2 linked regions of the Schizosaccharomyces pombe genome follow. The protein of the gene in region 2 interacts with the protein of the main gene of each other region in a biochemical or structural test. Each region holds a gene or a part of one and is shown on either strand. Other genes may lie near its edges. The genes, in order: tif211 and hri2.

What was found.
Region 1: of the proteins of hri2 (region 2) and tif211, one has a biochemical effect on the other in vitro, tested with the Schizosaccharomyces pombe proteins (one study listed by BioGRID).

The regions. Positions count from the first base shown.
Region 1 is NC_003424.3:3,159,144-3,171,000, reverse strand, and holds tif211 (translation initiation factor eIF2 alpha subunit), read right to left. Parts: upstream 4,574-11,857; 5' UTR 4,546-4,573; coding exon 4,476-4,545; exon of another isoform or gene 4,414-4,475; coding exon 4,243-4,413; exon of another isoform or gene 4,137-4,242; coding exon 3,457-4,136; 3' UTR 3,302-3,456; downstream 1-3,301. Other genes in the region: class 1 histone deacetylase Hos2, read right to left, coding at 1-891; png1 (chromatin modification-related protein), read left to right, coding at 1,959-2,810; exosome 3'-5' phosphorolytic exoribonuclease Rrp41, read right to left, coding at 6,893-7,578, 7,690-7,729, 7,778-7,780; ppt2 (holo-[acyl-carrier-protein] synthase new8), read left to right, coding at 8,147-8,331, 8,390-8,478, 8,558-8,682; pdc201 (pyruvate decarboxylase), read right to left, coding at 9,059-10,771. UniProt on the Schizosaccharomyces pombe protein: eIF-2 functions in the early steps of protein synthesis by forming a ternary complex with GTP and initiator tRNA. This complex binds to a 40S ribosomal subunit, followed by mRNA binding to form a 43S pre-initiation complex.
Region 2 is NC_003424.3:953,332-966,227, forward strand, and holds hri2 (eIF2 alpha kinase Hri2), read right to left. Parts: upstream 3,280-12,896; 5' UTR 3,144-3,279; coding exon 3,029-3,143; exon of another isoform or gene 2,942-3,028; coding exon 2,903-2,941; exon of another isoform or gene 2,854-2,902; coding exon 2,319-2,853; intron 2,255-2,318; coding exon 1,024-2,254; 3' UTR 948-1,023; downstream 1-947. Other genes in the region: nuclear HMG-like acidic protein Mak16, read left to right, coding at 1-743; sno1 (glutamine aminotransferase subunit), read right to left, coding at 4,315-5,019; poly(A)site selection protein Seb1, read left to right, coding at 6,730-7,086, 7,277-8,782; two-component GAP Byr4, read right to left, coding at 9,106-11,103. UniProt on the Schizosaccharomyces pombe protein: Mediates down-regulation of protein synthesis in response to stress conditions by the phosphorylation of the alpha subunit of eIF-2 (tif211) on 'Ser-52'. Protein synthesis is inhibited at the level of initiation. Activity is inhibited in the presence of heme.

The sequences.
Region 1 (11,857 bases), 2.2 Mb from region 2:
ATGGATGCTCAGATTGAACACGCCGAGCCGATCATAACCAAGCGAATCAGCACCACACTGAAGGACAATTGCAGAAGGTTGAAAAGTATTGATAGTTGGTTCAATTATGGATTTGAAAAGACTAGTGTACTGTTCATCACCAATACCATCTTCCAAAGGAACGTTTAAAGCAAAATATTTCCCTCCTTTCACGCCATTTTCATCAAAATTACCAGTTGCAGGAAAAAAATCACCATTATACTTGTGAAAAGAAACCGTCAACACGCGGTCAGATTCATAGAATGCTTGCTGCACACCATCTCCATGATGAATATCGATATCGATATACAAAACGCGAGGAAAAAACCGTAGCATGTTCAAAATTGCTAGAACAATATCATTAACATAGCAGAATCCACTAGCCTCACCACGCTTTGCATGATGGAGACCACCGCTCCAATTGATAGCAATGTCTGTTTGACCTTGCACTAACTTCCGAGAAGCATCCAAACTAGCGCCTGCCGACCTTTGAGAAAATTCATAAGTGCCGTCAAAGACCGGACAGTCATCACCAATATTGAATTGTTGGAACTTATCAGCAAATTGTTCAGCATTATCAGGAGTAACGCGCTTAAGGAAATCCAAATAATCCTCCCTATGAAATTCTGACATTTCACCAAAAGTTGCCATCCGGGGGCTGAATACACTCATTTTGTTATGCAACCCATAACCCATCACTAAATGATTTGTAATGGTAATTCGATGGGGCTTCATTGGATGTTTGTCACCATAGTGGTAGTTTCCCACCTGTTCATCTAAGTGATATGTGACACGCTTTTTTTGAGGTCGAAAGCTAAAAAAAGACCCCTTTTCAACTTGTTCATAAGGTGTGGATGTCTCAGGAGTATCCATGATATACAGACTATTATACTAAAAAAAACCGCGAGACAAATTAAATGAAAATATCTTTTCTAAAGAAAGAACAAGAAAAGAATAAATAAAATTAAGAAACAAATTAATAACTGTTTCAGAAGAAACAAGAGAAATGAAAGTTATTGACCAATGCCAAATTAATATAAATCGAAAAACAACCCAGATTTTTTTATAGAAAAGAATTCAATCCAAATAATAAACAGCAACACGAACTGTAAATACTTTATTTTTACGTCGAGCGCAGAATACGTAGCAAAAGGTCGCTAAACCCGATACCTTATTAGATAAAATGTACAACTTCAACAAAGCGTTAATTCAAACTCTTTGAAGCCCATAAACACAAGAACAAATAGGATTTACAATTTTTTGAAGAATTGCTAGTGCTGGTTCATTCTTATAACTTAAAAATGTATATCTCAGTGAACACAGAAGGAAGCTACCAACTTAGGTGTAGTTTAGTATGTTATGCTTCCATATATGAACTAACACATTAATAACGTATCGTTATTACTTAAACAGATGGTAACCTTTAGCATGTGAATTCATAGACAATTTGGCAACTTAGATATCATACATACGTTGAAAAGATTTATCTTCAAAGTGATTTGGTTTGCGTGAATTCTTATGTTTTTATTTCGCCCTCTTTGCCTTCCAGTACTGTGTTTACATTATATGGAGTGGCGGAACTCAACACCAAATGTGGGCTACTATAAACAACCGGAAAAATTTTCAGCAGCTTAAGAGAGTGTAAAAATAATCTTTAAACGACACAAAAACGAGCCATAGGTTCATATATATTATTTCAATTAGTGTCTTTGTCCTTCTCGTTTGTACATTTATTGTCACATTCCTCTACTTTAAAAGATAAAGTCATAGTATCTTTTATTCATTAGTTATTGAAGTATCGAAAATATTAGTGGAATATCAACTTTCCCTATCTCTTTAAAAGACTCAAATCTCCCTTTCTTTTGGAATTTGAAATCATAATAATAATTTTTGCATAAAGCGGAAATTAGAACGTATCTATAATTTTCAATTTGAGAATAATGGCAGATGATACAGCTTACATACTAAGTGAGTATTTGCAAACGTTGGATAATGTTCCCAACGAAACAAAACACATCTTTGACGAAATTAGTGTGAAGGAAGTTGCTGTACATGACATCTGGAAGAGAATTCAAGCAGCTGATTCTCAGATTCAGTCATACATTAAATCACATGGTTCCTTGACCCCACATCCAAAAGAAGATGCTTTGTATTCGACGATTCGCGAGGAGTATCAAAAGGCAATTAATATACAGAACGAGAAAGTCCAGTTGGCGGATCGTGCCAGATTGGGACTTACACGGCACATAAAGCGATTGGATGATAGACTTGCAAAGGCCGGTCATGGATTTACAGCTGCGGAATTGTTAAATGCTCCTGACTACTATGCTTCTTCACCGTATGGTGGATACAGTCCAAGTGGTGCCTCAAGTGCTCGTCAAACACCGGCCCCTTCTCGGTCGGGAGCCTCAACAGCTGGTCGCCGTCGTACTTCAGCAACTACCAGGGGTGCAATTCAAAATGGAGTCTATCACTCTCCTTATACGGCTTCGTTGGCAGATTCTGGTTCAACTCGCGGTCAGAAGGTTTCGAATGCCACTGCAACCACCCAGTTAGAAACTAAGGCAGATTCCACAACGCCGAATGAAATGGTCTCAGAAGAAGATATGGAAGAGGATAATGAAAAGTATTGTTTTTGCCAGCAAGGATCATATGGGCAAATGGTCGCTTGTGACAATGCTAATTGTGAGCGTGAATGGTTCCATATGGAGTGTGTTGGTCTTAAAGCTCCTCCTGAAGGTACATGGTATTGCGAAGCTTGTAGGGATCAGAAGCTTGTTGATGCTAAGTAATTTTTCCCCAATCTAAAGTCTGTTGGTCTTCCCATTATTGAATGCAAGCATTGTTGTTTTTTTTTGGGCTTTAATATCCGCTAATTTTTCACCTGTTCCGAACTTACTATATTTGATTATACGTTGTTCAAGCTGTGTATATGTGATTTGCAAAATGGTTAATTTATTAATCATATCTTCACGATTACGAATCCTTTTTATCTTATTCTTGTCCTTGTTTGTTTTTCACTCACATAATAAGTACCAGATTACTTGTACATTAAGAAATTCAGTTCTTTAATTTCCCCAATCCTCCCCAAAGCAGATATTACACGCCGTAGCTAACCACAGTAATAAGTCTTTTGTAACTTTATTATTTGTAATTGCATTTGTTGTCCATTATTTCTACTATATTGGAACTGAACTTATTATTGTACATACAAAGGAACAAGATGCAGCGTCTAGCGTTTTCATATTATCTCGTAACATATAAAAGAACTCTTACGCATTCGGAAAAAAGAAGAGGAAATTTTTTAACCATAGATATCACTAGATAAATTTGATAAAGTGTATAGTACAAAATAAAAAGAACCCCAGATTATAATGGAACACTAAAGTGCCAAAAATTCACAATGAAAAAGCGTATATTAGCTAGTGTCTAATCCATTTACTCAGAACCGCTTTGGTCATCCTCTTCATCACCAGAGATTTCAGCATTTTCCTTTTCAAATTTTTTCATCAAATCGGCAAGCTCCAATTCGTCAGTTTCACTAACCGCCTTGGGTTTCATTTTAACAGTACAGGTACCATTGGATGCTGTAATGGATTTTTCGATTGCACCAATTGCCTCTTCTAGCTTTTTGAGACCCAATGACTTATCTAATGCGTTTGTCAAAAGGACGTAAAGTGGAGGAGCAACAAGTTTAACTTTGATAGGAACCTCCTCGGTATGAACATCTTCAGCAGCCTTCAAAGCGGCCTTGATAGCGTTAATACCTTCGTAGCCAAAGCAAGTGACTTCAACGTCAGCACGAATTTTAATGGGCTGAGGCGTCAGACGACGAGAGATTTGAGCCAACAAATCATTAATAACACCCGATTTGGGAGGTTCTAAACCCTCAAAGACATGATCTGGGTTACTAATAGCAAGCTTAAAGGCGTCATAAGCATGTCCATATTTGCGGTATAATGGCCATCCAATTGTGGTATACATGGTCTCCAAAGGAACATTATGCTTCTCAGCAATATGGCGCATAATGGAATGAACAGCCTTAGATTTGTTGAAGCGTTCTTCGCACTTTACAACATCCTCAGGGCTAACACGGCGCTTTGAAAGATCGATGTATCCTTAATCCTGGTTAGTACATTCCTAACAACTTATAAACCTTTTTTCCCCTTTTGTTTTTCTTTTTTTTAAAAAAAAAAAAAAAAAAAACTACTAATAAATTCTTACCTTTTTCCTTGTCGACACGTAAGACCACGACGACTTCATTACGACCAACGCGAATATGCTTTTGTACTGAACGAATACGACGTCTGGAAAGCTCAGAGAGCAAAACCATTCCTTCAATATTATCGTATTCCAACAATTTTACATAAGCGCCCATCTCCTGGATTTGACGAACTATTGGAAATATTAGCCATTACCGTTTCTTTAGACAGACAACATGTGCATTTTTTACATACCGTTGACAACAACGAGTTCATCCACTTCCGGGAAGCGATTCTCGTACATTCTGCAGCTTGTCGTCGACATTTTTGCAAAGTGTTGAGTGTTTGGTTCTGAGTAAAAATTTGTGTGGACTACCCACTTCTAAACTCTAGGGGCCAATTTTGCTTCTTTTCAGAACCCAGACATTGGTCATTTTAACTTAACTGTTTATCAATAATTATTCTTTATATTTAAAAAGTTTCCTTAAAGAAGATTTATTAGTATCTAAAAGCACATAACGATCGGTGATAACTGGCTTACCAGCCGAACGCTGAATAAACTAGCAGTAAAGTATTTAATAAACTAAAGTGTTTAATAAACTACTAGTTTACTACATCGTTTAGAATTACAGATAATATACTTAAACTTTCTTTTCCCTCAAACGAAAATTACAATTGGAAAGTTTACGAATAGAAGACTCTGTCTAATTGATTCCACTTGTTCCTTTGACTAGAGTAAAGAATTATTTTATTGAAAAGTTGTTAATCCATTGCCTTACAAACCATCCATCACCGTTTTTTGGATTACAAAAAAAAGTGAGAACTCGTATTAATGAAATTCAAAAGGTTATCAATGCCAAACTCAAGAATAGTTGAGGAAATGTGTTTTCAACAGTCTTTGAATATAAACTATTACAAACAAACTTTTTTTTTTCAATGCGCTTCTCGTAGATACATTGAATCAAGAATGCATCTAAACTTAGTAAAGACAACCAGTTGAATATGTCTTTTATATAAATATAAAAGTTCTTTAACACTTGTTCATGAAAATGAACAAGATGTGGTACTAATTTGTGAATTGTATTTCATTTTTTGTCTGTTGTGGGATGTCCTCCATTCCGATTCGTACCTGGTCAATACAAGAATTGCGCTGTAACGAAAGTACTCATCTAGTACCTAGAATGAGAAAAGCCGCTTTAAATTAATTACAAGTATTTTCCAAATATGTTAATATAAAAAGAAGCAAATCATCAACAAAAAAAGATGAGCCTACAGCACCCCGGATTCCCATGTTGTCTCCAACCATAGTACTAACGAGGCCCTCAGACGCTTAACTGCAGTGATCGGACGGGAACTGGTGTTTTCGCCTAGGTATGGCCGTAGACGTTTAAATAGTATATTTATAACATGTATAAGCAATAAGTTTTTGAAGGCAAAGATAGAAAGCATTTAGGGAAACTGATGTATTCAATCAAACTGATAAAATTAAAAACTGTTGAAGGCATATTTCAGTATGCTGTCTAGTAAAAACAATTGAAAACAATAAAACGTACAAAACTTAAATCAGGCCGCGATGAACTGGTATGTATATAATTGCCAGATATTTGCGCAACGGTATTCTTGACAGTGCTATGAAAGCATCAAAAACAGAAAGGGGAAACTTAGTCATGCAGTTTGACGAAGTTTCATTTTTACTTTGGTTGAACGGCACGAGATTCCTCATTTTTAAAACGAAGGTAATATTAACTGTTGATCCTACAGCGATTCTTCCATTTTATTAATCAAGATGTCCTTGAAATCAGCAATCAACTAGTAACGGCAGAATTTGAGTATGTATATTCGATGAATTGTGAGAAACCCTATTTACAAGAATATGCATTAATAAGTATCTTAGTATACTCATTTTGTAGCTTTCAATGCTTATTAGAAAGGCCGATCTGTGATCGAAAAATATAAAAACTGCTCCGGCAGTGACTCGAACACTGGACCTCCTGTTTACGAGACAGGCGCTCTACCACTGAGCTACAAGAGCTACTGTTAGTTTGCACCATTATAGAAATATATAAAATAAAAATACTGTGTTTTTCATATTTTAACATTAACAAATTTAACATTTATCTCGAAAAACAGTTTTACGATTCTCATAATAAACCTTAGGTTTCTTATATCTAAAAATCTAAAAAAATATATATATATATATATATTTTCTTTTTAATCCACATCAATCTGTAATATCTGTTGAATGAAAAATTCCCGGTTGTTTATGAAAGCCTCCCCCAAAAAATAATCAATTTATTATAATAAGTGAGATCTGAATAACCGAATTTATTCATAAAATCTTCAACTAATTAATGAGCCTTTTTTGATGCATAATATCTACAGTACAATCCATATTTTTTGTAATATAAGCCCCTTTAGACAAAAAAGGGACGCAATCATTAAAAGATTATATACGATATTCGAGGTGATTTTTTTGATACTTATACAGAAATACCAAGGATAAGGACAAAAACGTTGTACTAGGAATAAAATGAGTAAAGCTGTATACGTTTTGTCAGAATATCGTAGAGCTAAGTAAAGTTGCAATTGTGATGACTTATCAATGTATAATTATAAAAATTAATCTTCCCGTTCATTTATTTTTAATAGTTTTTTTCCCCAAAATTTTGTCATTAGCTGAGACTTGCAAGTGCCGGTTTAGCGCTTTGTCGAACCGCACTTTGCATCGTGTTATAAATATGTTCTGATCCAGCGATCGCCATATTCATTACTGACTCCAAATAATCCAAATGCATACTAGTTTCCAGCTGCATATATACGACCTTTTTTATGTTCCCCAAAACAGCAACCGTCAACCATGAAAGAGCTGACTCCTCTAGTGAGTTTAAATCCAACAGCATATCAGACTCAACAATCCCAGCTGTACTACAGCAAACGAAATCTTTAACTGGTATACCAGCATCTATTAAGGCAAGAGTAGTAGCGTTGATACAAGATGCCATTACTGCACCATCATCTTGTAAAACATGCAAGTAGACAGAAATTTGACTTCTGGGATATAATTCTGTTTGAATTATCTCCTCAAATGTATTTTGTAAAGCTAAACATTGCAATTGAATTCTCCTATCCGATTTAAATCTCTTTTTCACATCTATTGTGCTGAAAGAAGCAATGTTTATTTCGACATTCACAAATGTTCTGTCAGCTCTAGCTTTGGACTTTATTACAGGCTCCGAGGGTCCATCGACTATACACAAGACCTTTGTGTTACCCAATTCAATAAACGCCGACCCATTCTCCGAAGGCTCGATTCCAATACGACACTGAAAGTTTCTCATCTCATCCCACCGTCGACCATCTTGCAACAAATATTAGCACACAGAAAGATTAATACATTTTATAAGAATCATAGATGTTTGAATGTAAATTTTAAGTTTCTTTTTCATTTCCCATAAATGAATTGGCTTACCATTTCGAAGACCTTCAAGGGATAAAATCTCAAAGTGTGACTATATGGTTAGTACTCGTATTATCTAGAGATAAATTCTATCTCTTACCATATGAAATTTTTTTTTTCGTGATTGAAAGGATTACAAATATATAATTTTTGGTTCCCTTTGAACACTTTTGTAACTGGGAGTGAGTAGAGAGTACACTTGTTACAGTAAAAACTCCTGCTACTGCATTCGCTACGAAACGAATTGGATTTGATGTCTTTGGGGGCACTAATCGATAATGAATTAGATAAATTTATTTCATTTTATTTAAGGATAAAGATTTTTATATCTCGTTTAGTGTGTCGGAAATTTAGTTTACAATATATTATTAATTAAGCGTTCAAAATTATTGAAGCCATAGATTTCTTTTTTTCTTCTTGCATTACCATTAATATTTCCTGTTCATGTTATAAAGAATCAAAAATCGAAATGGGTTTAGGGATTGACATTTTAAAAATTTCAAGAATCTCAAGATTAATTCAACGCTCTCCTGAATGGGAAAAGAACTTTTTAAAAAAATGTCTGTGTGAAAATGAAATTAAAAAGTACAACCTGATTAAAAGCAATTCCTCGCTGCCTCGTTTAAGCGAACAGGCTAAATGGCTTGCTGTTAGGTATGCTTGTCTATATTTATGATCGTTTCATAGTTTTAACGGTTATTTTCCTATGTAGATGGTGCGTCAAAGAAGCTGTTTTCAAAGCTTTACAACCGAATTTTCGAGTTTACATGTCTATGATGGAGTATGTTCGAACTCCCACAGGTGTGTCATTTGTTTTCCATGTTCAATGTTTAAAAATAAAAGGTTTGTAAAGTTACTGACTTTGTTATGATTAATATAGGCTACCCTTCCGTTGTTATTCATGATCCCCGATTTCCGCTTTCTCCCGTAATGGTATCTGTAAGCCATGAGGAAGATTTGGTTGTAGCGAATGCTTTGTATCTACCATCTATGCCAAAGACATAGACGAGAGACCAAATTGAAGGTACTATATTATTTAGTGATTCTATTGCTGCTACTCATTACCAGTCGTCTCAATGACCTTTTTTTATGTTATTGAGTTTATACTAACAGGGAATTATCTGGACAAGTCTACCTTGGAGTAAGGGGATGCAAAAAGAAAAAAAAAATAAATCATTCAATGAATCCTAATTACCAACAAAAAAACAACCGCTGCATAAACTTCAATATATTCATTCATTTTATGAAAGAAATATGGATTGACGTAGAAAAAAAAAACGACTGTTGCAAATTAACTAACCTAACAAAAGCATCATTTGAGAAATATTGTAAATTTCAAAATCAAAAACATATCATAATAATATAGCCATAGCCATATTTTTTACTGCTTGTTAAGAGAAGCGGTAAGTTTGGCTTGCTCAATCAAAACACGAGGAGCATCCAAGACAGGCATATGAACTTCAACGAGCTGAATTACATCAGCTTTTCCAAATTCCTCATCTTTAAAGAGATCGAGGAGCTCCTTTTCTGAATGAATGTTATAGGAGCGAGAATTTTTGGCACCATAGCCTTTAAGAAGGTTTTGATAGTCCCATTCAGTGTTGATGTCGTTGTAAACAGCGTGAAGACCGTGAATGAGACGTTCAATTGTATATCCCTTATTGTTAATTACAAATATGATAGGGGTGAGACCGTTACGGATGGTAGCAGAAATTTCCTGAACAGTTAAATGAAGGGAACCGTCACCAACAATCAATATGGAACGACGGTGAGGAGCATCGGAATCCTTGATGCCCAACGTAGCACCAAACATAGCGCCAACCGACCAACCAATTGAGCCCCATAATACCTGTGAGAGATTTTGGCAGCCTTTGGGGAAAATGCAATCCAAAATACCAAAGTTGGAGGTACCTGTCTCGGTAGTCACTACATCGGACTCACGAAGAAAAGAGGCAAACGTAGGCCAGAACCATTTGTGGGTAATGGTTCCTTCGGCGTAACCCTCAGCAGCAACAGCCTTTGGTGGCTCAAAGTGAACAGGACGGGCCTTTGCCTGAACGGACTTTTTGTCAATGGCAGCGGTGAGCTTGGGCAACAAATGTTTCATCGAAATGCCCTCGTAAACGCCAGAACGAATTTTGGTGTAGTCGGAATGAAATTCGATGGTTTGAGATGCAGGGGTAGCATAAGTAAAGGTGCCCGAGTTGAAATCGGAGCGAAGACCACCGATGATGAGAAGCAAGTCAGTAGATTCGGCACGTTCTTTGATGGAAGGCTCGGTCAAGGAGCCAATGTAGACGCCATCAAAGTAGGGGGATGACTCATTGATCGCAGTCTTACCCATGGGAGTAACGTAAGTGGGGAAATGGGTCGCATCAATAAAGTCTTGGGTTTCCTGTTGAATGTGGAAGCGGGAAACACAAGCGTCAACGAGGATAGAAGGGTTCTTGGATTTTTCGATCAATTCGAGAATCTCAGAAACCACCTCGTGCTCAATCTCCTTGTTGTTTTCGGGAACAGGGAAAACCAATGGAGTCTTCAAGGGAGAAGCATCCGTGTAGAAGTAGCCGGCGTCCGAAGGAACGGCCAGATAAACGGGTCTTGAAGTGCGAACGCACGTTTCCAACAGGTTGTCGATGAGACGACCGGCAGAGTCACCGCTATCCAGGAAGGCGACATCGGCAGACAACTCGGAGGACATACGCTGGAAGACTTTAAAGTCACCATTTCCCAGTGTGTGATGAAGAAGGGGACGAGTGGCTTGAGCCTTGGTGTTGGGAACACCGACAATGTGAACGACAGGAATACGTTCAGAGTATGCGCCGGCGAAACCGTTGAGTGCGGAAAGTTCACCGACGCCAAAAGTGGTGACGATGGCAGAAATGCCCTTAACACGAGCATAAGCATCAGCGGCATAAGCACCGTTTAGCTCGTTTTCATTACCGACCCAGCGAAACGTTTCGTCGCCCACTTTCTCAATCAAATCGAGCAAAGCCAAGTTAAAGTCGCCGGGTACACCGAGGATGGATTTGATGCCCAATTGCAGCAAACGGGTGAAAAGGTATTCACCAACGAGGACTTTTTCGGAAGACATGATACAGGAGTACAACAAAACACGCTACTTAAACAAGACAAGCAAGCAAGTAAGAAGAGCAAAAGGATAGAATGAAAAAGAGAAGGAGAAGAGAAGAGAATAGAGGTGAAAAGAAGAGAAAAGATTGGTCAAAGGAAATGAAAAAGCTCAACAAAGAAAGAGGAGGAATGATACAAGGATCTCAAAAGCAAGTCAAACAAACAAATTTGGGTTTATTAAAAAAAAAAAAAAAAAAGTATAGTATAGTATAGTATAGTATAGTATAGTATAGTATGTGATAAACAAAGGAAATATACAGAGCACAGTAAGATGAATTAATTCCTTTGATATAGATGAGAGAGAGGTTTTAAGTTTGTTTCTTTCTTAACTAAAAAGAATAATAAAAATATGTATGAAACGTGAAAAATTGTTTTAAAGACGAATGAAATGACAGCAACCGCCTCTCCTTTTATAATCTGTGTGACAAGGCCTACAGCATTGACTTTGCAGCATGATTCATCTTTGATCGGTGTATCAATACGCACAACCGATTTGGTCAAGTAAAATCACAGAGGCAAAACTTCGGCTTACTTGATCAGCTTCCTATTTCCATGCAAGAATACCATTGCACTTTGATTAAATTAGCTTGCATTAAAGTTCAGGCTACAAAAACATATTCGGACAACAATGACAAGTATCCGACCAATTACTAAATTCAATGTGCGAACCTCTCCACTCTCGGGTAAGAAGAGTGCATACAAAGCCTTTAGACTTTGTTGTCATGCGCTTCCCTGATACGTAAGTAAATGACAATTAAGATGGAAGGGATTGCGAATGTCGCTTACGTGGCGATGGGCTTGGATGGATGGGCAAGCGGTCAGTCGCTGTTTGTTTATTACGGGAGGGGAGGAGGGATGGAGAGTAAACAACGTAGTATTGTAATGTTTGTGTGAAGGAATGGAAGTGTTTGTGTGTGTGTATTGTGAGTATATGGATATTGTGAGTAAATGAATGTGTTGTAATAATATGAATGTGCGTGTGTGTGTGTGTGTGTGTGTGTGTGGTCGCAGCGAGTGAAATACACAATCATTAATGTTGTATGGTTGC
Region 2 (12,896 bases):
ATAATGGAAAGCTGTATCTTTACATGAAAACTATAGAACGTGCGCATTTTCCATCGAAACTTTGGCAACGGATAAAGTTATCAAAAAATTACGCTAAAGCGTTGGAGCAAATTGATCAACAGTTATTGTATTGGCCTGGTCGTCAAATCCACCGCTGTAAGCAAAGACTAACCCGCCTCACTCAGTACCTATTGAAGGCTAGACGATTGGCATTAAAACACCAACCAGCATTAATTCCCATTAAGCCTAAACAAGCGCATCGTGAAGCTTCTCGTGAAAGAAAAGCACTTATTGCCGCCAAATTAGAGAAAAATATTGAAAAAGAATTGGTTAAGCGACTTAAAAGTGGTGTTTATGGTGATCAACCTTTGAATGTTAATGAAGAAATATGGAACAAGGTACTAGCCGCACGTGAGGGTTTAATTGATGAAGGCGAGGAAGAGGAGGAACGAGAAGAAGCTGAATTAGAATTTGTTAGTGATGATGAAGATGAAGAAGAAATCTCTGATTTGGAAGATTGGCTCGGCTCAGATCAGTCCATGGAAACTTCAGAGTCTGAAGAGGAGGAAAGCTCAGAGTCTGAATCCGATGAGGATGAGGATGAGGATAACAAAGGAAAAATCAGGAAACGTAAGACCGACGATGCAAAGAAATCCAGGAAGAAGCGCGCTCCTCATATTCATATTGAGTATGAGCAAGAACGTGAAAATGAAAAAATACCTGCTGTTCAACATTCTTGGTAAAAAAAAAAAAAAGGTTTTGAATGTTATCTTTTTTTAAGGGATTCTGTTCAATAGTTTTTACTTTGTCGTTTTTATTTTGGATTATTTAGGTGTATAGATATGAATGGTTTTAATAATAAGGAATTTATCGGAGCTTTTACAAACAAAATTAGCTTTAATGTATCCTTGCTTTATTTTATTACTTGTGGCATAAAAGCGTTAGATATAAATAATGCTATACTTTCGGGAAACTGAACAAATTGACTGGAAATTTAAGTATTAAAAAGTGAAGATTTTTAGTTTAGCGGGTTTCAAGATGTTGAATCCTGGATCGTAGAACAGCAATTTGTTCACGCAGTCGCTGATTTTCATCCATTATAAGTTTCATTTGAGTTTCAACATCCAAGTGGTTTGTTGATACAATATTTGATATATTTGGCATTGAGACTTGGTTAGGTAATAATAGTCCACAATTGAGAACTTCCAGAAGTGATGGTCGCTTCGTGGGGTCTTTGGCTGTCATCCATAAAATTAAACTTGACTCACAAATATGTTGCTCAACGAACTCTTCAGGAAGATTTCCTCGACGAAGGTCTTGAAGTTTTGTTGCACGTTCCATATTTGTTTGAAACGGGTGCAACAGCTCAAACAAAACCATTCCTAATGAGAATGTATCGATTTTTTTTGTAAATTTATTATGCTGAGAAGACATAGCATCTAGCAATTCCGGAGCCGCGTAAGTTGCAGTGCCTATATGCTGAGTCTCATCTTGCAGATTAGGCAAGTGGTTTCGTTCAAGAAAAGAAAGTGCGGTTTCTGTGTTTTTTTTATTTTCAACAACGAGTCCAAAATCACCAATCTTAGGAGTAATGTATTCTTTCAAATCGTTTTTATCATTATAACTAATTAAAGGAACAGACCCACGGTCCTCCGGTAAAGATTTAGCAAGAAATATATTGCTGGGTTTGATATCTCGATGGATCAAGTTCACACCTTCATGTACGTACATAACGCCATTAATTATCATTCGGAATAAATCCGTATGCAGTTGTATTTGTTCCTTACATAGTGGGAATGAAAGAAAATGGTTTCTTCTTATTAGATAGGACTCTAGATCATCAAAGCAAAGCTGCATTTGAATATAAATAATAAAAGAATGAGTGGGTCCAGTTTTAGATATGTGCATGCTACTAGAATAGTCGTCATCCAAGATGGTGGTATTATTAAAAGTAGAAACATTAGAGTCATGAAGATTACGAGGGCTTTCTAAATTCTCAAAGTTAGAAGATTCAGTAGTGCTTGAGTAGCTAGATTTTCTGGAAGTTGAAATGATCGACTCGGTGCCAGGATCTTCTGCAAATAGTATATCGTCTGTAAGGGCAGAAGATTCTGTTGGTTCAAAAATTATGGAGTCCATTCCGTTGACATCACAATAGCTTGAGGTTCCAAGTACTCTACTAGAATTTTTAGACATTACTATCGGCATTTGTGTTGCTTCTGTGGTGCTTTCTACCCAGCTCGAAAAGTATCGACTAAGCCGATGTTAGAAATAATAAAAGGAAGGCGATGAAAACAAGTCCTTCTGATGATGCTTACATAACATTTGGATGATCCATTTTTGCTAGACATTTGATTTCTCTAAATATTTTGGAATAAGACATTTGCTGAAATGTTGAATTAATTTTCTTCATTGCGTATTCAGCACCGTCAATCTTATTTCGTACGTGATATACTGATCCAAATCCACCTCTTCCTAGTAAAGAATACTCCTCAAAGTCCTCTATGTAACGAGAGTTTCTTGACTGTAACCAACTCTCAAGCGTAAGATCACGGAATCGGAACTGTCTTACATTTAATCCATCTACAGAGAATTTCGAAAGAGCAGTTTCTTGTGGAAATTTTTCAAATACATTGGTGGGATCGGGTAGTGCTAAAAGTCGCTCTTCAGCATCGTCGAGACGGATTGCCTCACGCGCTTGCAGAATCAAATGGTGTAAAGCATCCTGATAATTGGATCTAACGGCTGCAAGTTCTTCAATATATTCTTCTTCCAAAATACCTATTTTTTGAAGAGTATGGCAAATTAAAGCAAAAAGTCGTTTGGACTTGGCAGGATTATTGTCATACAGTTCTTTAATAAGTAAGCAAGTAGTTCACATGAAACGAGAGCTTAGACATACGACAAAAATTTTCCAACAAAGCAGTTAAAAGCATCCGCCCTAATAAATACATTAGCTTAGGTTGTCAATGACCAATATTTTTAGTTCGTCAACTGCTTTATACACACAGTTGTAATTAATTCCTACCATGTTTATTGACAGACAAATCCCTTGATTGTCTTTCATTTTTTAAACTTATTGCATTTGTTGTCTCTGAGTAATTCCCATCTTCCGCTGACTTGTGAGCGTTGAAAAATCGCATATTTGTGATGATGGAAGTGAAAAAGGCATTAAGAAAACAACCAGTTTTTTTCTGCACTTATCAAAATATTTGTCAAAATCCCGTTAATCGCAACCAGCTAATCTCGTATCTTACAATGGAAGGTTAGAGAATTGTTAATGGAAACTTTGTGGTTGACTTTTCAGATCATGAAAGTAACATTAGGAGAATTTAACTCTACAGCTAAAATACATGGTTTCTACTGACTATGGTCGTGTTAACGATAAGTATGTATTTGTACTGTTAAAAATTCAGATAAGTAATTATAATCAGTCTTCTTTTTTGAACTTCTTCATTCGTGAAAAAGCAAGTCAATTTTTAAATTAGCATCGTAAACAGTAAGCCAAAGATACATTTATAATCTAAATCAAAGCAAAAAGAATCCAGCTCGAAACTGAATTTATAAAACCAATTTGTTTAAAGAATTGATATATTTTATTACCAGATAAATGTTGTGGACAGAAATCATTTGAATTATTAATTCATTCATTAGTTTTACCTCAAGATAGTAAGAAGGAAAATTGAAGAGAACGAGCACTTCAAGCTAACTATTAAATTTAATTACATTAGCCAGCATGATGTGAGGAAAAAACATTTTGATTTGACACAATTTAATTTATCATTTCACATTCATAAACAATTCTTTAATTTTTATATTAAATTATACTAAGTAGTAAAGAGCACATGGAATCCGTTGTGGTCCAACGGCTAGGATTCGTCGCTTTCACCGACGCGGTCGGGGTTCGACTCCCCGCAACGGAGTTTTTTATTTTTTCTTAATTTTGATTTTTGATTTATCACTTACTGAATAATTCCAGTGTACTAAAATTTAATCTTCGGTTAAATTTTCTATGGAATGTGTATCTATATTACCCAAAATAATGCGCATTTTTTATAAACATTTGATTAACTGATAATGTATTCAAACTATATGCTTTTAGCAATGGAAATGACAGCAACTTATGCAGCGCAAATGAACCTAGAAAAGATTGAAAGCAAATAACAATTAACACTTAAAATCTAAAAAATTAATCTAAAAGGATTTATTATTTAAAACTTAATGACTGACTAAAATAATAAGTGAGGCATTTACCTGTCTCAACTCTTTTTGTGGGATTATACAACATGCAACTATAGGCATGAATTTAAAAAACTAATCCTTTTTCTCCTTTAAAGGTAAAACACGCTCTTTTACCCACCATTCATGCCATCTATTATCGGCGGTCAGCTCGGGGTGAAACGATGTACCTAAAAAGGGACCTTGCTCAACCGCAACAATCTCTTTGTTGCCTTCATGAACAATAGTAGCTAAAACATTAATATCATCAGACAGGATTGTCGAAGCGACTGGAGCACGAATAAAAGTGGCCGAAAAGGAATGTAAAGGTTCAGTGGCTTCAAATTGCATTGACTCTGTAACTGTAATATCAGTTGTAAAAGACATAGTTTGAGGTCCAAAATAATTACGAGTCACTTCAATATCCATGGCGCGCAACAAATAAGGATCTGGGAACTTTCCACCTCGAGACTTTTTCGACAGAAGAATCATACCAGCACACGTTCCCCAAATAGGAAGTCCTTGATCAACCAAGTGCTCCAAACGATCACGAAGCTTCTCATCAATGTTGATTAATTTGCCAATGGTAGTAGACTCACCTCCTGGGATAATTAAGCCATCAATATTTTCGCAATCCTTAGCAGTTTTAACAGGAAAAGAAATTACTCCATCAATGGAATTCATTATATTAATGTGTTCAATAAATGCTCCTTGGAGAGCTAAAACTCCAATTCTAGCCTTCAACTGGGATTCGTCCACAGCATTGGTTTTAAGACTCCCGAACATGGATGCAGAAGACATTTTTTTAAAGTTTTTAATCGACTAGAAACGAATAAAAAAACAAAGAAAGTTTGAAAGAACTAAGAAAAACAAACGAAAGATATCCTGAAACCTATTGAACAAGTAGATGCTGATGAAGATTGATACACCCCTTACTAATCAGCAATGAATCACTCAAACCGTTGAAGATGGGTATTAAAGGATTGTGTTGTCTATGTTTATACCTTAAAAAAATTAAATCAAACGTAACTAAGAGATCCACTTTAAGTAGTATACAATGTGTCTCAGTTCATTAAGGCGGTGGTGGCTATAGGATAATAACCCAATCAGACATACCGGGGGTCATTATATAAGTCTGGCAATGTGGAAGCGAAAAATTATCGCCAGAATCAAAGATGGCAATAAAGATAGAATTGGTGGAGCAACCTTGAATCATATCGCAAATGATTACGCTCCTTAATAAGCAATATCATTTGGTACACCCATCTTCATAAGCATAACAAAGGAGACCTTGCACATTGCTAGACTCAGTTTACAAAATCAAATGCGATACAGTATATCACATGCTTTGACTTCAGTCATTTCACTAAAAATTGACTATCTAGACTACCATAAAACAGTCAAATGCTTTCTATATTATCCACAAATTAGGATATCATCAAGCATTAATGAAAAAAAATGCTAATGTCAACACAACTCTACAGTTCACAATTGCTTACAGCATTAACTACTTACCTCACTTTTATTCTCAAAACCCCCAACCACTAATAACTACTTACTGAATTTTAAAGATAAAATTATTTAATTACCTTTCCCACTGTGTTAAAAGTTCAATACGCATAGCATCAGCAAGTCTTCAACCTCTCTTTCAGTGGGTTTAGCAACTGAAAAAATTTAAATAAACTGCTTACTTTCAACGATAACAATATTATCTTCACCACACACTATCAATGTACGAAGTTAAATATTTTCAAACCTCACATCCTAAACCATCCAATGTTGTCAAATTCATGCGTCACAAATCTGTCAACAGAAGAAGATTCGGCGTCGCTTGCCAGTAGTGCAATAGCAAGAACACCAGTGTCGGAAAGCATAGCAAGCCAGAGGCTTTCCAACTCAAACCAAAAACAAGATTAATCGGAAACACCTCAGTGAGGTGATTTCAGCGATTAAACTGAAAAGAACAGATACTACACTTGATCTAAGCCAAAAGGCAAAGAGAGAATACCGAACCAAATGCACGAGTACCTGTATATATAGTAAATCTCATAAATAAACCCGAACCCTGAGATTACTTCGCAGTCCCAATTTTGTGGTCGAGGCTGACAAACTTGTTACCAGAAGGATCATGGGCATGAAATTAACAAAAACGCTACTCATTATTATTATTTTTTTTTACACTAAAAATTTTCATACATTTTTTAAAACAATATGATATATATTTTTTTTTACAAAGTGTGAAACTTTGGAAATTTTTAGCATCTCTTTAAGCACTTTCCTTACCCTTCCGTAATACCAGCTTTATAACCAGCATCACCTACTTCACCACTTAACCGTAACCATAACACAAAAAGTATTTAAGAACAGGGTGACTTCCTTTTTTAACGTCTTTCAAGCACGTGTAAAAAACTAATATAAGAAAAAAAGTAGTAAAATTCTTATAAAGGAAACAGGGTAGTTTTCTAGTTTTGAAAAGTTTTTTTTTTTTTTCATTGTCGTTTTTCTTGTGATATGTCGGGAATCGCTGAATTCGATGGTATTTTAGATTCCCTTGAACATTCCAAGACAGGAATCTCGGGATCAAAAATTTTGAAATTGACTAACTTGTCGATGGAAAATGTTTCAGAGAATGCGCAATTTGTTGCTAGTGTGTATAAGTATGCGAAGCGTGCTCCCGTCACCCATAAATTAGGAGCTTTGTATATTCTAGACTCAATCGTTCGTAGCTTTCAGGACGGTGCTAAAAAGAATAATGAATCTTTTGAAAATCCCGTTGATGCGTCTTTTAGTGGCGGCTGGTGCAAAGCTGCTGAAATAACTGATAGTTTGGTCGCAGATGCTATACAGCATGCGCCATCTGCTCATTTGGTATGTGTAGCTGAAGTTTTTCAAGGTTGACTACGGATAAGATCCCGTATGGATAATCGTATGCTCTCTCTGCTTCTGTATCAGCGAGACACTGTATGAGAGAGGTATTTTTTCCTTGTAATACAGTATCATTCTCTTTGAGAAGTCTTTTAACATTATTGGACTAATTTGTAACTAACTAAGCATGTAGCCTAAAATATTAAAGCTTTGTGATATTTGGGAGAAGGCTTCAACATTTCCTCCCGAGAAGCTAGAATCGCTTCGTTCAAAGCTGAAAGATGCAATGGCAAGTACGGAACCGGTTAGTGTAGATTCTGCTGCTGCTCCATCACAGTCTACTAATCCCGAGGGGAATGGTGGTTCTGTTGGTAGTCAAGCAGCCGCCCCCACTTCTCGTCCTGTCGAAAACGATGCTGCTTCTATTCTAGAGGCATTGGCTGCTTTCGCTCAAAAGGCGCCCGTCCCTAGTGCTGCCGAAGAATCAGTTAGCACTCCACCGCAGCCTGCCGTCGCACCATCCGTTTCTGCTGTCGTCCCTAACCTACCTGTTCATCCAGCTACCGCCATTAATGCACAGTCTCAGTCAGGCAATCCATTATCAAACCCTCTATTCCAACCTTCAAATGTACCACAGTCTATTCCCTCTGGTCCCATGGGGATGAAGACAGGATCGGTCAATGATACCCAGAGTCAACAGATCACTCTCATGAATGTATTGGCTTCTCAGAATGTACCACCTGCACAAATCGATAGCATCATGAAAGCTGCTTTTCCCAACTATAACGCTCCATTCCAGCCGGCTGGTGTCGGCAGTGTTCCTTTGCCAGCTCCTACCTCTTCCCAATCCTTAAGACTCGGCTCCTTACATCGTTCTCGTAGCCCTAGTCCTCGTAGTGGTCGCCCTCGTCGTAGCCCTAGTCCTTCTCATTTATCCATTCCTTCTACTTTGCCTCCTGCAGATGGTGTGCCAAAACCTACCCCTGATGGATTTCCTCGCCGATTTGAGCGTGACCCAACCATTCCACCTGATTCTATTAAGGTATACAGCCGTACTCTTTTCCTTGGTGGTATTACTCGTTCTGTGCGAGAACCTGTTCTTCGATCTATGTTTGAACGATTTGGGTCTGTACAAAGTTTAATTTTAAATCATAATTACAGACACGGGTTCTTGAAAATGTTTCGTCGTGATGCTGCAGAGAAAGCTCAAGTAGCGATGGAAAATGTCCCTTTTGCTGATACTACTATTCGTACTAAATGGGGTGTAGGATTTGGACCTCGAGAGTGCTCTGACTTTTCCACAGGAATCAGCGTTATCCCAATCCGTTTGTTGACGGATGCCGATCGTACCTGGCTTGTAACTGCAGAATATGGCGGCACGGGTGGCCTTCCGATTACTCCTGGTATCGCTTTGGATGAACCTGATATTGAAATTGGATTAGGAATAAGTTCTAAGGCAATTAGTAAAAGAGGAAAAGATTTTGCTATGCGTCGTGATGAGCGATTCCGGGGTCGTAAACCATATAGGGGAGGTCCACCCATTCACCATGGTGAAAGGCATTTTGATTCAGGAAATGACTGGCATGGTAATCCTAGTACCGTTCCTCCCCCTACCAACCCATATAATCCCGGCTATCCATATATGGATCCTAATTACTCTTCTGGGTATGTCTCACAACCTCCTTGGCAACCCCAATAATGTGTTAAAAGACGCTTACAAGTATTATAATGATGGCAAAAATGGTTTCTATATTACAGACGGTATTTAAGGGTATAATGTATTCGGTCCAAATTTAATTGATTATTTTCTTTGTATTGTCTTGTTCAAACAATCTAGTTTGTCTGGGTGTCACATTAGTATTACATTTGTATCATTGTTGTACATCTTATACATCTATTTGCAAACAAAATGAAAAATCTTCGAAGTGTATTAAGCTATGTACAAAAAGATCAAATCTGCGATAAACAAAAGCATTCGTATAATTATATATAAACATTCGCAAGGTAAAGACAAAACCTTGTTTATTGTTCGGCATTAAGTATATTATAAAGCTCCCATAGTCGTGACCTGTCATCGTTTTTAAATGAAAAAAACCAGCCATCAATTCTCTTTCGCCATTGAATATCTTCGCTAAATTGCTTTTTTTCAAACTCTGGGCCGACATCGTATATTTCACTCATATCTGGAAAATTGATTATTGAGTTTATGCTACCATTAAAGCTACCTGAATTTTCGTTCAAGTACTGCGAGGTGGAGTCTGTATCCTCAAGATCATCAAACCCGCTAAAGGGATCTTCCGCTTCTTGACCAGAAATCGAATTATCAATCCATCGTAACCTTGTAGGGTCATATACCATATTTCCGACAACCTGGATTCCTTTTTTTGTAGAAATGTTGGAAATTAATGCTGGACGGCTAGGCGAGATAGGGGTATCAAAATCTCTAATTGCATAATCGTTTCCTTCCCAGCAATGTTTTGTGGGATTATATCGCATTTTTCCAACAATTTTTGGGGTTCTAGGGGAATTTAAATTTTGTATTAAAGTAGGTGCCTTTTTATGGTGTCTGCGTTTTTCTTTGACGCTCAATTGATCATTGGAAAGCGATTCTTTTGTTAACTCTTTAGAAGGGGCGGCATGAGTTTTGTGTTGCCTTTGAGACCGAATATGCTCATTTTTTGCTGAATTAGTTATATTATTTAAATTATTCTCATGTTTCGAAGTAGATCTAGGGGTAGTATGTGAATGCCATTCTTGAGTTGAACCTGCGTGTTTACTTTTAGGCGTTCCGGAAACTTTGGTAGTTTGCTTTTTTCTCAATTTAAGCTCAAATTCATAATCAACTGGTAATTCATCTAAAGTATCAAGTTCTGTACCATCTCCGTAAGTCTTGCAATTTTTAGGCTTTGTTCTGTATTTAGAATTACTTGCAACTGTCTTCAAAGCGTCCAAATCCATCAAACCCATCGAATTTTTCGAATGATAGATCTTCAAATTCGAGGGAGTCCATGTGGAGCTTATAGAAGAATTTCCCTTCACGGGAGAAGAATGTTTACTCGAAGCCTTCAACGTTTCTGGATAATGAGAAGACGTATCCCTTTTCGAAAGTGTTTTCGAAGAATACTTTAGGTTTGGGTTATCAGAATGAGGGTTTTCATTAGCGAGTGAAGGAAATATGTCTTTACAAAGGGGATAATATTTTGCATCCTGATGCACATTAGGTTGATAAGAAATTGTGGAGGAAATATAAGGATGCTTTTGGTTGATGGTATTTGGAGATCGAATCTTTTTCCGAAAGATCGATTCTGTTTCGTTATTAAAGTCAATATCAAAATCATCCCAAAAGCCGTCGTCATTATGCGCAGAGGAAGGCGTACGAAGCGAAGACTGTTCTACGCTGGAAAAGGAAGCTTTTGGATCCATCCTATTTTGTTTTCTGTGCAAAATACTGTTTAGGTCGGTATCTGGGTCTATTTCAAAATCATCTTCAAATGAAGAAAAGCCTTCCGATTCACAATAAGGGGAGTCCGAAACACTGGGATACCGAGCATCATTTTCACTTGAAAGATATGTTTTCTTAAGAGTATCACTAGAGAATGGAATTGGAGGTCTTTGAGAAGCAGTTTCAGATGCTCTAATAGTATTGAATTCATCAACATCGGCATCTTGGTATTTATTGGGACGAAGTGTATTAAACTCATTATTACCTTCTTCACCTTCTTCATCGAACGAAAAATCATCTTCATAGCCTTCTACATTGGAAGAAATTCGGTTCTTGTTGGAAGACAGTTCATGGTTTAAATTATGTACTTGTTGATTCCATTGTTCGACACGAGAATGAGCGCTTGGTACATCAGAAATTGAAAGGCTATTAAGACGACTAATAGAGTCGTCAAACGAGAACCCATCATCCACACTCGTACTAGCACTAGTGGTAGCTATGGATTGAGTAAATAGGCTAGCATTATCGACGTCGGAAGCAAAATCAGGATCATCGTCCCAGCATTCAACTTCAGTCATTCAATCAAAATAAACGTATACTAAAACGGCTTTGCTAAGAAAAGAAATTGGATGCAAAACGCATAGAATGATTACTAACCGTATTCACCCAAAACTGAAAACCCTAAATTTGATTTTCAAAGAAAAAGAAAGTGAGAGAGAAAAAGGATGGTCACTAATTTTGCAAAGAAGTAACCACTGTAAATATTTACGCTTTCAAACCCAGCTTCGAGAAGTAATAAGTTATGAACAGCAATTCAAAAGGACTTCAGGAATATGATTATGATGATGCTTTCAGAGATACAATGAAATTTTGTTTTGTATAGAAAGCAAAAAAAAGAATTTAACTTATTTCAATGACAAAATCAAGGAATCTGGGTTAGCGGTATATTGTTGAAAGAGACGGAGGTTGAGCTAGAGGTATAAGTGTAAACACCAACTTGATCAATTTACGTACTTTGGTTTCAGTACTTTACGAGAAATCAATTTTTAATAAGGTGAAAAATAAAGCATCTACTATTTGCTTGTGTAAACCTAAAAAAAAAATAGTTTTTTTTGGTATCTTTCAGTCATATTTATTTTTGCTAGATTAATCATAGTAAAATACTTAACCATATGTGATTGCCAAAATGCATAGCTGCACCTCACCTTAAAAAAATCTAGGTAATCTAATTAGCATGCAACTACGAGTTAATGTTTTTTAAAAAGTAGATAAATTACAACGAAGGTTAGTAGGTGAAGCAATAAATAGTATGTTTAATCGTCACTCGTATTAGCAAATTCATTCGTCTTAGAATTTTATTTTCCTCCACGAAAATATATATATTTTTCTTTGAACGTTTAAATTATTATAAACAATTGCTTTCTCTGAAATTTATGCCCATTTACAATTTAATTCTGTTTATGGAATCTACATATTCGTTCAAGTATATATGAAATACATTTTAAGGAATCTTTTTTTATTAGATTCTTCGTATAATTTCTAAAATACATACTATTTTCATATACGAGTTTAGATAAATTACAAAAAAAAAAAAAAAAAAAAACGATTAAACTATAGGTTAAAAAGTAAATCTATTAGTTTATAACAAAAGAAACGTCTTTGTTTTATTTTAGTTTATTTTTTTACATCTAAAAAGTTATTGAAATCAACAATGGTAAAGTTGAACAAATTAACTCTTCAATTCATAGGTATGAGAAACCGTTCTTCATTAGTAAATCCAAGTATGAAACATAATCATGTTTTTACCCCTATGCGATCGCGCTATTCATATTTTTCCTAAATTATTTTTAGCATCAATTCTGTCTATAGTTTCATATAATTTCAGTGATTTAATCATGTAATTATTCATGTAAAGTTCATAAAAAATATAGGTTGATGATCTTATTAATGTTTGTACTTAAGAAATGGTAAATCGAACAAGTTGAAAAAGTAAGCATGGCATCTGTCTTATACTCTTGTGCTTTTCTGTAAACCAAGCAGTTAAAAACATTATTGCTTGCTAGTAGCGAAGCAACTTACAAACATTTCTCATAGACGAGAAGTAACTCCATTTTTCAGATAGTCTAATAATAAGTCAAAGAAAAGGATGTTTAACATCATCCTAATCAAATTCATATAAAACTAATAATTGTTTTCCATCGAAGGAATCTATATATCGCACTACAAGGTGCAGTAACGAAACACTCAGATCGTGGAATCCGGATTGTGTTCTTAACCTTACGAGAAAAACGAGCCATTACGGTCGTGACTGTCCAGAAATCGTTCGATTTTTAAATATCTGAATTTAGTCTATTTTTTGATATAAATCCCC